Medicago truncatula: one gene and its partner. The protein of the gene in region 1 interacts with the protein of each later gene in a pairwise test. Links are inferred from orthologs where the notes say so. Each region holds a gene or a part of one and is shown on either strand. Other genes may lie near its edges. The genes, in order: CBL-interacting serine/threonine-protein kinase 6 and calcineurin B-like protein 7.

Region 1 (7,087 bases):
GCTTCTATTTGCTACTTCTGGTAATTTTTAAATCAGTGTAGTTTATTTGCTAATTATATTTGTTTCAAATCCCATTTTGATTAAGTATGTGTCGCGGTGACTGCATTTGTGTTTTTCAGTTGGCGTTCTTTGTGTTTAGTGGTCAAGTGTTTAGTGGTGATATAGAGCACAAACAAGATGGGATTGAATTCAACCAGGAGGGGACAGATGCTGATCAAGACAATGATGATGTTTCCTTGATTGAATTGTTCACACATGATTAAATAACTGAACATATTAGAAGTCTGAAAAAGCAATCTGTTCAGGTTAGTATTCCTCCTTCCTGAAAATTTATGTTGTGTTTTCAATTATCTTGATCTGTTTAGGCCTTGCCCCTTCTTCATCAAGTAATATGAATTGAGTTTTAAGATAGTTTTCTTTGACTACGATATTGTATCAAGAGAACATTGTTTGTCGATTTAATCCCATCTGAAAGAAAGAAGTGTCTCCATGGGATATCAAATCAATATACTACTTTATGTGATGACGATGATGTACATATCCTAATAAATATTGGGAGGTGGTCCTTTGGAGATGCTAATTTTATAAAAAATTATGTTTTTGTTTCAGGTAAAACTTATTCAGAAGACAATGGAATACAAAGCTGTCTGTGGTTAGTGAGACGAAAGCTTTAAGGTTGTGACTAGTGCGGTTTTCAGACAGCAGACTGTTGTGGTTCAACTGTGTTGGCAGTGGTGATGTGCTGCGGTTTGCTACCTATGGTTTTCCTTTTTTAGCTTTGGGAGGGACTGTTGTATGGGACTTTGGTTTTGTTAGGGACCTGTATGGAAATGCACTTATGCGTTTGTTGAAAAGCCTTGAATTGCACTATGAAATTGGAGGGGATTGGAAACACTACTGTACATTTCGGTGGTAATTAAACATCCAAAATCAATTTTAATTTAAAGTATCCAAACAACATCAACTTGAAATAATCACTTTTATATATCAATTCACATCAAACACACTTTTGACTAAAATCAATTATTTTAAACTCAATTATGTCAAAATCAATTATCGTCACCGCCGTACCAAACACACACAATGACTTTCACCACACAAAAAACAAAAAACAAATTGACTTTCACCACACAAAAAAAAAAAACAAATTGACTTTGAAGCATAACTTTCAAATAGTACATCCCTGTGTAATTTAAAACACCATAATTAAGGTTATTTTTTTCCCATACATGTTCTTGTTTTAAAAATGGCTGGCGGGAATGGAGAGTGGATTCTGAAAAAATAACCCCGATTGCCATTAAAAAAATATTTCAATTCCTTGTCTAATCTAATACTCCTAAATTTAATTAACTTATTTTATCTACATCTACAATATCATCATCATCATATAGTAAACCCACCAATGCTGTGATCAGCATGTCCTCAATTAGTGTGTATAAATTAGTATGAGAATAATGTTATAAAAAAATGTATGAGAAAAAACAATTGGTTATTTATTCTTTTGGTTTGATATTAATGTCTGTCAATTATTGTACATACCTTTCAATTTCATATTTAAATTCTTAATAGGTGTTGTAATAAAAATAAATAAATTATGAGTCCTGCTAACCGGTGCCCCGGGACACTGGTTAAGCATATCATAAGAGAGAATTATTATCCTAAAAGAAAATTGTTTTTGACTTTATTATAAATTAATTACACAATTTCAATACATTAACTACTATATAATTTCCTTTTTTATATCCTTAACCAGTGCCCCCGGAACACCAGTTAACATTTCCCATAAATTATTGGTAGGTGCATATCATCATATGATCAAAATCAGAAGTTTCTTAGCACGCGGGTCAGATGGTGACTTCCCAAAGACATTGCATCATTTGCAGGTGAGGTGAGGATATATATCAAATGAATGTTTTTGTGTTGAGTTGATGGACCATCGCATTGAATTAAAAACAATTACACGGATGAAATTGAAATAAAAATATGGTGAAATCAATTTATACAAATTTACCTTATATGCATAACAATAACATGTATTATACTCATGTACTTATTTATAGATGCATCAATAATTTAAAATTTCAACTTAATTATAAAACAAAAATATATAAAATCATTATAATAAAGTGTCATGCTCATCAAACAACATAAACTATCCCACCAAATCATAAAAACATCTAAAAAAACAAAAAATTGACAAGTTTCTAAAGTTCTTTTTTATGGAAAGTTTCTAAAGTTATTAAAGGTTAAAACAAATCAATAAAAAAATTCTTCCAAATTGGGTAAAACTAAAATAAATTAACTCGGGTTAAATTTATGTTTCACTCAAAATTGATTTGACAACCAATTAATCTAATCGAAAATTCACTCTTAAAACTGTAAAATTGGGCAATTTTACATTTTAACACGCAATTTTAACAACAATGATAGACATTGTATCTTCACTAAAAACCTCAAGATATTAGATTTATATGTCGTCTCACTTGTATGTTTAAAGGAGGAAAAAAAAATCATATACATTTAAAGTTTAAATAAAAAAAAAAATGGGACATGAAGATGATTATATATTTTTAGTTGACTATAATGATTGCGTCAAAAAAAGAAGAGACTATATATGAAGACGAGCAAACAGTTCACTTGAAATGCATTATTTCACATGGTGGCATCTCAATCCAGTCCAAATGCACATTCCATTACATGCTAAATGTATTAATTATTCCAAAATTTGTAGTTATAAGAGCCACACTAACTATTGATCAAGTAGGTAGCAAATCTCTGCATATCTACGAGATCAAGAAACAGTTTTATATTTCAGATGATTGAAAGAAATTATTATACACTTCTGATAAGTTTGCTTCAGCGATGAAAATGTAGGAAATGTGCGTCCATCAAGAAGCTGTAATTAGATTGTGTTTGGTTATGCAGTAATTAAAATTAGTTTGATAGAATCGAGTTAAAAAGAACTGATTTTGAATAAAAGTGAATAGAACTAAAGTAAATTTATGTTTAGATACATTCACATAAAATTGGTTTTTATCACAGGAGCAAGATCAAGACCGATCTCTTGCTGCCATAATTCTTTGGAGTTTGTGGAAGAGTAGTAATACCAAGCTTTGGGAGGCTACAAACACTTCACTGACCCTCATTGTCTCTTGTGCTTATGATGTGCTACACGAATGGAGCTGCATGCAACGAGCTAAGCATCCGGCAAGCCCCCAAGATCAGCAACGGACGTGGACCAAGCCACAGGCCGGCCACATCAAATGCAATGTTGACACGACCAATTTCCATAATAACTCTATTATGGCTTATGGTTTATGCTTTAGAGACTCAACATGATCTCTATTATTAATTAAATCTAACTACTTGCACTTATCTTCTGTCTTAGACGCGGAATCCCTTGGTCTTCTCCACTTTCTCAAAATGGCGATATCCAACGATTTGCATAATGTTATGTTTGAAACGGATAGCAAAACTTTGGTAGCTGCGCTTCAAGCTCTCAATGTTCCATGTAATAAATTTGATGACTTGGTATCTGAAATATGTAAGAGTCTCTTATCTAATAATTTCGACTATGTAGTATCGTTTATAAAGAGACAAACAAATATGATATCTTATTATATTGCTAGAACCATATTATCTCATCCTAATCTCATATCTTTCATGACATATCTTCTTCTACTTGATATCCCTTGATTATTAATGAAATGTAGCACCTCTTCTTTGATTTAAAAAAAGTGAGCAGCTCGCTTCAGAAGAGTCGGGTCCGTCTCGAGAGACCTACCTACCTGTTAGTTGTCGTTGCTAGCCAGTGACATAGTGCCACGAGCTATTACGTGATTGTCACAAATTTAAAAACCGATCATCCACTGTTTGTTTTAAATCTAATTGCTGGTTTGCAGTTGCAGCGAGCCCCACAGCCAGGCTCCACCATCGTTTACGTCATGTCAATGTCTCACTCAAACCTCCTACCTCAAACAAAATAACATTATTCATTATTCCATCTATCTAATCTATCCATTCTAGCAGTATTCATATACTAACCAACCAGTATTATTATATTATCAATCACTCACACACACACACACTGTCACACATAATAATTAACAAAACAAAATAGGTTTGTCTTCTTCTATGGCGAGCAGCACTGCACACCATTCATTCATTCATGAATCAATCATGATTCAAAGTATTTCTCTCGCGGTTTTGGTTTCCTTTCCTAATCAATCATGATTCTATGTCTTATTATTATCATTTATTTAATACTTCTGAATTAAGAAATGAGAATAAAGTATATCAATTAAATAAAAATGAAAACAAACAAACAAACAAACCAAAAGAAAAAGACTGATTCGGTTTAATTTCATCGTCGCATAAAAAAAAAAAAAAAACGGTTGAAGCGGTGAGAAGAAAAGACAAGAACAATGGTCCATACACGTGTCCACCATCACCTAATCTGTCTTTGAGAGAGAACCGTCAGATCACCAATCAATTGAGACAATGAAAACGAAAGCAGAGACCAACCAGCACCGCCGTATTATAAAACCAAACCTAATATAAGTCAGTAATAATATAGAATTATTGTCGAAACCAAACACAATTCTTCAACCCTTTCTTAACCAATTAAATCATTCTTCATCGTTTTCATAATTCTCTGTATCTGTCTGTCTACAGCGAAGGAATGCAGAGAGATGAGAGGCCATTGCTATCGGTTCTCTCCATCTGAAGTTGTAAGCATTCTTACAAAACGAATCATTGGCGGTAGACATTGCCACCGCAAACACGTTGAAGACGGTTGATCTATTCTCCATCTTCATCTCTTCTTCCTTCATATTTCTTCTATTACTTTGTAAATACTAACTATGTGTGAAAAGGAAAACCCTAACTCTCACTCGGCTCTGCTCGATGGAAAATACGAGCTTGGTCGAGTACTCGGTCACGGAACATTTGCTAAGGTTTACCACGCCAAGAATTTGAATACTGGAAAAAACGTAGCCATGAAAGTAGTTGGTAAAGAAAAAGTGATTAAAGTTGGAATGATTGAACAGATCAAAAGAGAAATCTCTGTCATGAAGATGGTCAAACACCCTAACATAGTTCAACTTCACGAAGTCATGGCTTCCAAATCAAAGATCTATATCGCCATGGAACTCGTTCGCGGTGGAGAGCTTTTCAACAAAATCGTCAAAGGTCGACTCAAAGAAGACGTTGCTAGAGTCTATTTCCAGCAGTTGATCTCAGCCGTTGATTTCTGTCACAGTCGCGGTGTTTACCACCGTGATCTCAAGCCGGAGAATCTCCTCCTCGACGAAGACGGTAATCTCAAAGTCTCTGATTTTGGTCTCTGTACTTTCTCTGAACATTTGAGACAAGATGGATTGTTGCATACCACATGTGGTACTCCGGCGTATGTTTCGCCGGAGGTTATCGCGAAGAAGGGTTACGACGGTGCTAAGGCTGATATTTGGTCTTGTGGTGTTATTCTTTACGTTCTTCTGGCTGGATTTTTACCGTTTCAGGATGATAATTTGGTTGCTATGTATAAGAAGATTTACCGCGGTGATTTCAAATGTCCACCGTGGTTTTCTTTGGAAGCTAGGAGGTTAATTACAAAGCTTCTAGATCCGAATCCGAATACAAGAATATCCATATCGAAGATAATGGATTCTAGTTGGTTTAAGAAACCGGTTCCAAAGAGTATAGCGATGAGGAAGAAGGAGAAAGAAGAGGAAGAAGATAAGGTGTTTGAATTTATGGAGTGTGAGAAATCATCGACGACAATGAATGCTTTTCATATAATTTCACTATCAGAAGGATTTGATTTGTCTCCGTTGTTTGAAGAGAAGAAGAGAGAAGAGAGGGAGGAGATGAGATTTGCAACGGGTGGGACGCCGAGTAGAGTGATATCGAAACTGGAACAAGTGGCGAAGGCGGTGAAATTTGATGTGAAGAGTAGTGATACGAAGGTGAGACTTCAAGGGCAAGAAAGAGGGAGGAAAGGAAAGTTGGCTATTGCAGCGGATATTTACGCGGTGACACCGTCGTTTCTGGTGGTGGAGGTGAAGAAAGATAAGGGTGATACTTTGGAGTATAATCAGTTCTGTAGCAAAGAGCTTCGTCCTGCTTTGAAAGATATTTTCTGGACTTCTGCTGACCCTCCAGCTGCTTGATGAATTTTTTCATCATTAATCATAATGTTTGTTTAATTTACTTATGTTATGTCTCATTCTTCTCTTTGTAATAATTCTTGTTTAGGAGGAGCTTCATGTGTTGTTTTAATTATGTATGTTTCTGCTTTTGTATCTTAATCGACTAAAAATTCCTTGTCTTGTTTGTGTGTGATATTAATTTTATGTATAATAATTGGTTTTTATTTTTGTTTGTTTTAGTAACATTTTGCTTCATCCGTCGTCTAGACTTGATATTATTGAGGAATTTGATTTACTTGCTTCAACCCGTGAGGGATTGCATCAACTTGCTAAAATATCATAATTTTGCTTCATCCATATACAATCAAGATTATGAGGAATGAATTATTGGTTTACACCACCACCATCCCAAATTCCCAACCCGTGAAGGATTGCCTCAACTTGCTGAATATCATATTTGAGAGGCTGCATTGAAGAGCACATGGATGGGACCAAACTCACTTTGAACATGTGCATGTCATTTTCTTCAACCATAAGTTTTGTGGTCTTGATGTTTTTGATTAAAAAAAAAATTAACTGTTTCTTTGATAACTTTTTAGTTCACAAATTTTATTACTCCATTTAAATGAATTATAAAAATATATATATATATTGAAAAAACATTAAAGAAAAACATCAATTTTTTATTTTTTTTTGAAAGAAGATAAACATCAATTATTGAAAGTCGAGAACTATACAATTATTGAACATAGTTGGTGAAGAAGAAAACATCAAAGAAAAACATTTGTGGTCACTGCATTATTTGGTACTCAGCTTTCACAGCTTTAATACTTGTATTTATGTGCTTTATATGTAGGTGAAGAATGATAATGAGGGACAAACATGGTCCCATATTATTATGTGCTTTATTATGCAATGAGAAAAGAGAACTCATTCTC
Region 2 (7,865 bases), on another chromosome or scaffold:
TATATATTAATGATTCATTTCTTTGTCAAGTTTCATATAACAAAAATAATTTAGTAATGATATTAAAATGCTTACATAACAAGAAGAGTGCACCAACTTGGTTGTAAATAGCTACAACAACGAACTTATATAACTACATAAAAGAGGCATACAAATTCAGGAGTACCAAACTTCACCGGGCATTCGGTTATGTTATTTATATGAACATGTGAAAGCAACATTAAACCTTTAAATACACGTTTGCCAAAGGTAAGTAGAAACATATGAGTTGGAATTGAATTGACAAGCTTATCCCTACTGACCAATACCATACAACTCACAACTTAATAAATAATATTTAGTTTGCAGAAAAACTCAAAGCAAATCAAGAAAGAAATTAAAATACTGGTTTCTTCTCTCGGTTTATTTTATTTTGAAGAAAATAACAGAAAAAAAACACGAGGTAAAACAACTTTGATGACTCAATCATGATACGATACTTTCTTCAAACTCGGTATCAAATCTATTGATTGATTAATAGGAGGCACCAGTTCATGATGCAATATTTAACTGAGGGTCACATCTATTTCTTAAAAAAATTATTCGTACATGTTTTGATTGATGGTGAATTTGACGAAATCACGGTATGATGAAGTCGGCTAATAACACTATAATCCAAAAGAAAACACGTCTCTATCCGAGTCTTTAAATGGAGTCGGCTAAATTTGTTTGATTGCTCAAAATTGTTGCTATGTTTATTTTCAAAATAAAAAAGGACACGATATGTCATGTATCACTCGTATGGAGGAGACAAAGACATAATATAAAAACAACGGAATTTGTTTTATTTTGCTAAAACAAGAAAGGATCCTACTCCATGGTTTAAAGACACCATTCATTACAGCCTCGTATAATTTGGCCACGTTATTTTTTGTTTGATTTGTAGATGAAGTGAAGTGATACATACACACTATCTAAAGTTGACGTATAACTATGATGTTTTATGTTAGAATGGTGTCCGATTTAATAATATCGACAATTATCATTTGAAATATAACTTATGGATTTCAAGCAACTTTTGACGACTTTATTATGGGTTTTTCTATCATGTATAAATTTATTATTTTAAACTTTTGAATATGTGCAAATTAATTAGCAAATGATTGAAAAAACCCATTATAAATTAAAGGAAAATCCGTCAAAAAAAATTAAAAGAAAAGAAAGGTTGTCATGTGCATGATTCACGCAAGAGATGGAGCTTTAATAACACAGTCAGAGAAAACTTAATTAGGTGAACAGATTATAGGCCTCCCCCACTTGCTTATAAATAACACAACCTTAATTAATAATCAGGCAATTCTAATCAAGTACAAGTAGGAGATGTACATTTAGCCTTTAGAGCCGTTAGAGTACATGGGTAGTCATCCTCATTAGTCATTATCCCTACCTCATCTTACTTTGACAATATTTGGTTGGCAGAAAAGAAGAAAAAAAGAGGTAAGAGATGACGGATTATACAAAATAAAATAAAAATGAAGTCACTCCCTTAATATTCACAAAAAAGATACGAAATTCAAGTTGCTCCTCGAGGATAGGAGACATGGCCTCAAACAACAAGTGAAGGGACAAGTCACTCTCTCAAATATATAAAAAAAAAAAAAAATTAGATTTTGGATGAGAAGGATACGTCCTTTCATAAATATAAAAAAACAAAACAAAATACCTTAAAATATGAGCACTCAGAGGCCAGAGAAATACATGTTTGTTATATTTCTTACGTGTCTTTGCAACGATCATCATACAATTTTATGGATGAGGAGTCTTAAAGAACACTTTTTTTTAACTTTTTTTTTAATACTTGCTCTTTCATTGAGTGAAATTTTATCATTTTATGTGGAATTCATTTTTAAAATGAGAATATTACGTTGATTTCATTCAACAAAAGAATAAGTATTAGAGAAAATGTTGAATAGAGTGTGATTATAAGACTCTTCTTTCAAGGATGTCCACAAGTAAGATTATGTTGTAAATGTTAACGGAACATCGGAAGATGTGTTTAGAATCTCACATTAGTTGAGAATCCTTAAAATATGTGTCTTTACAAGTTCTAGCCCTGCCTCTTATAAGAAGAAGTCCCCCTACCATTCCTTCGACGGCTCCGCTAGTAAAAAACAGTAAAGGCCGTCGGAATAGTACTCTATTTGGCAGGCCACTTTATTCACGTGAAACGTGAGAACTACAAAAATGGGTGCTTCTTTCTTTCTATTATTTTCTTCGTTGTTTAGTCAAGACTATAAAAAGTTGTGGGGGCTCACTTCACAATTTTTGGATGAGAATTGTTATTTGTTATAATTTTACGATAATTTTTGAACAATTGTTTTTTTTTTCTGAATATAAAGAGTGATAAAGAATATTGTGACAGAAGTTGTCAAATATGTTATATCAATTATCATTACTCTTTCTGATGTCCCTTTCTTTGTCAACCGACAAACTACATAACTTTTCACACTATTCTCAGGCAGCAAGCACAATTTGAATTGTCAAATCATTACTCATATATGTTAGGTAAAGAAATATATTAGATATATAGTAGGAAAATCAAATAATTTGCAAAACACTCTTTTACTAACTTATACTCTTTAATTAGTTGAAATTTAGTGTATACACTTTGAAAATTACCAGCATGGATTTCATAGGAGAGTGAGTGTTAAAGGAGTGTTTCTAATATTTTTCAATGTAAAATTTATGGCTAAATTTATTAATTCCAATCAACTATAGAAACAAAATCAACATTTTATTCCATCTAATCGAAAATACCTAAAATTTGATATCTATAGAAATTAAAGGGAATGATATTGAAATTTTCACAATGCACAAAGGACAAGAACAGAACAAATGTTTGTTTGAATAGATAGAACTCATAATAAATAACAAGAGGCAATATTAGGTGAAGATGCTTAAAATTTGAAACAAGATCCGATATTAGGTGAAGATAGTTTAATAATGAAAGTGCATGAACACAGATAGAAAAAGGGGAAAAGGAGATACTGACCTGTACAACATAACAGGTGAGGTCTGGAGTGGTAATAAATAAATCTTGATATTTGCTTTCTCGTATGGGAATGGGAATTGGAGATAAAACGTAAGTAAGTCCTATGTGTTGTTGCCGGAGAAGTAGCGTCTATTCTAAACGGTTAGACTCTAACCTCGGGCTGCTTGCCACATTTTGAATTGGAAATGGAATTTAGAGCCGCAACATTTTCAACTTTTCTCATTGATTATTTATTTATTAATTAATATGTATCTTCCAGCTGGCTGATTGCCACATCCCCATAATTATTTGACTAAAACTCACCCCTCCCTAACATATTAAACAATTTAATTGGTTATTTGCCTATTTCAAACATCAGAAAGGGTAACAACACTAATTTTTTAACACTCTTTTCACATTCGGTTTATTGGATGTAATCAATATATGTCTCACTATTTTGTGTGAGTTTAATTTTCAAAGTGTAGATCCACAGTTATTTAAATCAATAAAAGAATAATTATTAAAGAGTGTTTAAAAAAGTGCTGCTAGCATTACTCTTTCACACATATATTAAGAAAAATTAATTAGTGAAGGAGAGAGAGAAAAAAAATAGTGTTATTGTCATAAATATAAAGTGGAATATATCTTAAGTATTCATTCACCATTATCATCAATGTAAAGTGGACTATGTTGAATTGAAAGTGTTGAAAGTAGTATTAATTAAAGTTATAATTAATACATAAAAAATAAAGTTATAATTGGAAAAAGTAATTAATATTGCACTGAAGAGTAAAATATGTTGATTACTTTCAACAATATTTTTTTTTAAAAATGGTTACTTAATATGGGACAAAGGAAATAATTTTTTAATGTGAATTAGTAGAATATACGGGGTTCAAACCTTATTTTGATGTGAATTAATATAACAATATATTGTAAGAAAAAAATAATATATTGTCTCTGTCAACTGAGGTATGCTTACGATAACAACTAAAACTCTATTTAGATGGATGGAATCGGTATAGTTCCTCTTCATATATATTAAATAAATGTTTTCTAAGGTTCATATTGACTTCAATACCGTATTATCTCAATTTTTTTTTACCAAAATAATAATAATAATTTGATGCATTTAATAATCAATATATTTAATTTATAACATAGACCGTATATATATATATATTATTCAATTAATCCTAAAAAGAAAAATTGCTTATAATTTAGACCAAAATGAGTAGTCTATATACCAAGAAAATACAATGCATCTTATTATTTTTGTTTTCCTTTTGACTTGGCTTTGATTAAGCTATTGTGAAACGGTCCCAGGGTTAGCCAAGATAACTTATCCACTTGTTGATTTCTCATTTTCACAAAATGTCTTCCGATTAGTATTTTTTACTTGAGTATTTGTCTTCCGATTAAGCTATTTGATTAAGCCCTCGTTTGGTGTTTATGCATTGAACAATAGGCGAGATCTCAACTTGCACACCTAAAAAATCTCATAAGAAGACATCACATAGACATTCATATTCATACACATAAAAATCAAAGAAACAAATGAAACAATGAGCTCGCGATTTGTTTCGTATAAAATGAAATATTCGTTTCTTCCTCTTTTTTCCACTTGGGTATACAATTTGGGGTGATAGACAGATAGTAGTCTTCACACTACACTAAAATAAAAAATAAAAAAAACATCTTTATATCTGCAACACTTAATCTAATATGTTAAGGAGAGGCTAAACATATATCTGCAACACTTGTGACGACGCAGCTTTTGCAACATTGACTGAAAATATATTTTTTCCCCTTGATTTTTACAAGTAAAAATGTATATGTATTTGATTCAAATATATGTATTCTTTTTTTTTTTTCTTTTGTAAAAAACTGGAGTAGTACTCCGCAACTAAATTTGGCGACCAACAATAATTACATGAATTGTAAAGAAATATTTGCACAAACTATACACATGTTTGGATCTGCGCCGGTTTTGAAAAATTACGGAAAGACATTGTAACTTTGAAAAAATTAAAATGTGCTCCAACCCAAAAGGTTAAAATGTGGTAATTTACCTACCAACTAATGAAAATGAGCAATTTATTAGTGGAGTTAAAATAGTTCATGGATACTACCTAAAAATGTGAATGTTCATTGGTTGAGGTAAATTATCCGTCATTCTTCCATGGGTACATTAGTTGTCACCTCAACAAAATCAAGGTTTTATTGTAATTTTGTCAAACTTACATTGTTTCTAAATGTGCATTACATTAATATTCACTAGGGCTGGAAATGAGTCGAGTCGAACCGAACCTGCCTGAGCTCGGCTCGACTCGATAAGAATTGGTTCGACTCGAGTTCGACACGAACTATTTTTTCAGCTCGAGTTCGGCTCGTTTGAAGGTCACGAACTTCGGTTCGGCTTGTTAGGTTCAGTTCGGTTGCTCAACTCGTCCAAAAATAATTATAAAAAAAAAAAAATTAATTTATAGATCTTTGATATTATATATATATATTTTAAAATTAAATATTAAATTAAAATAAAAGTTCCCACAAGCATGCATATAATAGACATAAATTATATAAAGTTAAATGTTGCATAAATACGAAGAAAAATATCTGATACAAGTAACAGAGACAAAAAAATCCAACAAAATTCAATTAGCTGTGAACAAAATTCATAATATTCTTTTACTTTTAAACTCCAACTGCTCTTCCCTTCAAGACAAAATTGTATTCAGCCACATTTGCCTCATTTGAATTAATTTTTTTTAAAAAACTAACTCAAATTGATTTATATATATAATCGATAATCGAGTCATCTCATGAACCCAACGAGTCGAACTATATGTAGCTCAAGTTCAGCTCATTTAATTAACGAACTTAATTTTCAGCTCAAGTCCAGCTCGTTAGGTTCATGAACCAAGTTCAACGGATTAAATATCGAGTCGAATGTCGAACTATAATCGAGTTGGTCGGTTCATTGCCAACCTAATATTCACTTTAGTGCAATTGGTCATCGTGAGGAACTACATGTTTCAATACGAGCTTTTTAGCGTCTTCTTAGTTCATTATTGTTTTGCTTAGTAGTATAAAGATAGTGAGAAGAGATCAAGACAGTGCGAGAAGAGAGAGTCGTAGTTAATTTTGAAAATGACAAGAGTGCCTTTAAACTAAAAAAAAATATATAATATATAATTTGATAGTAATTTTTAATAGAACTATTATTAAGTCAATCAAAATGCTAACAATGCAACAACGAAGACAGACCATTTTTACAAAAAAAAAATTGATATTTGAACAATCATTTCTAAGCAACTTTTATGATAACTCACTTTTATATTTTTATTGTAATTTTATTCTCATTCTTTTCTTTTCTCTCTCTATTGTTATTGTCTAATAAAAAGAGAGAAAAAATGTTGTCACTAGAAGTTGTTTAAAATTTGTAGTCAAAATATCATTCCTCTTTTCCCGACATCCTGACTATCTCTACCTTCCAATAACATGATACCTTCATGGATCGAATCTCCCACACAAACATTTGTGTCTCTTTGAAATAATACTAACTTCCTACATCATGAACAGAGTATCGAGAGTGTCAAATGTTTCTCTTCCTCACCAATTTTGTGATGGGAGAGCCATTAGGAGTAGATTACAAAATTGACAGAGGTATTGTAGAGAAAGACGAGAGAGTCGTCGAAGTAATAAATGAATAAGGGTATTTTTGGAAGAAAAAAAACTTAATTACTTCTATCACAACAAGCATTTCTCCGCACTTGAGCGAAGAAGCCAAAACTACGTGGGTCTCGTCTACTTCTTTCTTTATTTGATATACCTTTCCTCAACCAAACGAAATAAGTGTCATATTTATCCTACCTTTCTCTCCCTCTTACTTCTCTCTCAAGACGAACTCTAATATGGACCAACTTGACAATTGGTCCATTGTAGATCAAGATATCCTTTACCTTAACTCTCCCTCACGGCACATTCTCCTACTCGACTCTCATCCACTGTTTCGACTAACCTTACGACCAAAAGCTCCGATTTTCTTCTACTATCTTCAAATGTTCTCCTAGTATACCAATCTCCATTGGACATTGCTACCCACATGTAGGGATGTGCAACATATTCAGGTACATGGAAAAAACATCATCCAAATAATCTCGTCGAGTTTTATAAGCCCATTTTTTTTTTTCCGGATATCCAAATTCAGAACAATATTTTTTTAAACCAAAAGCCATATCCCCTCTCTCTCAATCGACATTGAGTTTTGTTTTATTTATCCATGAATTCACCAACAACCACAACTATTGATCTTAAGTTTTTTTTTATTGTTTCGTATTTTTTCCCTTCTTGATCCAACTCGCTACTTTATTTTCGATGGAATCAAAAAAAATTGTAAATACTTTGGATTTTCAAAAAATGAACAATGTAATCTTGATATAAAGACGGAGACAAAAGGATGTATTATACGAAAGATGGAGTCAGTGGGTAATGAGAACCAATTATTTTTTAACTCTATTGATTATTTTTTATCAATGATTTTTTTTGACAAATCAATTATTTATATATTTTATGAAATTAGTTTTTTAGATCAACTTATTTTTGAAAAAATAGAATTGTGATCTTATATGAGACATCATTATCGTCTTATGCTTCATTAAGACCTCAGTCTCATTAGGTATTAAAAAAAATCTTTAATGTAGGTACCTCATAAGCGCCAAGTATGTGAGATTCTGTTCCTAGTCTTCCTTCTATTTGGTCGAGGTTGAGTGTTCTGATGGGAGGTTGGTTGGTTGTCTAGTGTTGTTTTAGTTTTAGTTTCACTCTTGTTTTCTTTGGGAGAGATCCTTTTGTT

What was found.
Region 2: the proteins of CBL-interacting serine/threonine-protein kinase 6 (region 1) and calcineurin B-like protein 7 interact in a two-hybrid assay, tested with the Arabidopsis thaliana proteins (2 studies listed by BioGRID). The link is inferred for Medicago truncatula from reciprocal best matches to the Arabidopsis thaliana genes SIP3 and SOS3.

What each region holds. Positions count from the first base shown.
Region 1 is NC_053045.1:62,830,639-62,837,725, forward strand, and holds CBL-interacting serine/threonine-protein kinase 6, read left to right. Parts: upstream 1-4,551; 5' UTR 4,552-4,862; coding exon 4,863-6,170; 3' UTR 6,171-6,377; downstream 6,378-7,087. UniProt on the Arabidopsis thaliana protein: CIPK serine-threonine protein kinases interact with CBL proteins. Binding of a CBL protein to the regulatory NAF domain of CIPK protein lead to the activation of the kinase in a calcium-dependent manner.
Region 2 is NC_053044.1:45,064,165-45,072,029, forward strand, and holds the start of calcineurin B-like protein 7, read right to left. Parts: upstream 3,237-7,865; 5' UTR 3,032-3,236; intron 356-3,031; exon of another isoform or gene 76-355; intron 1-75.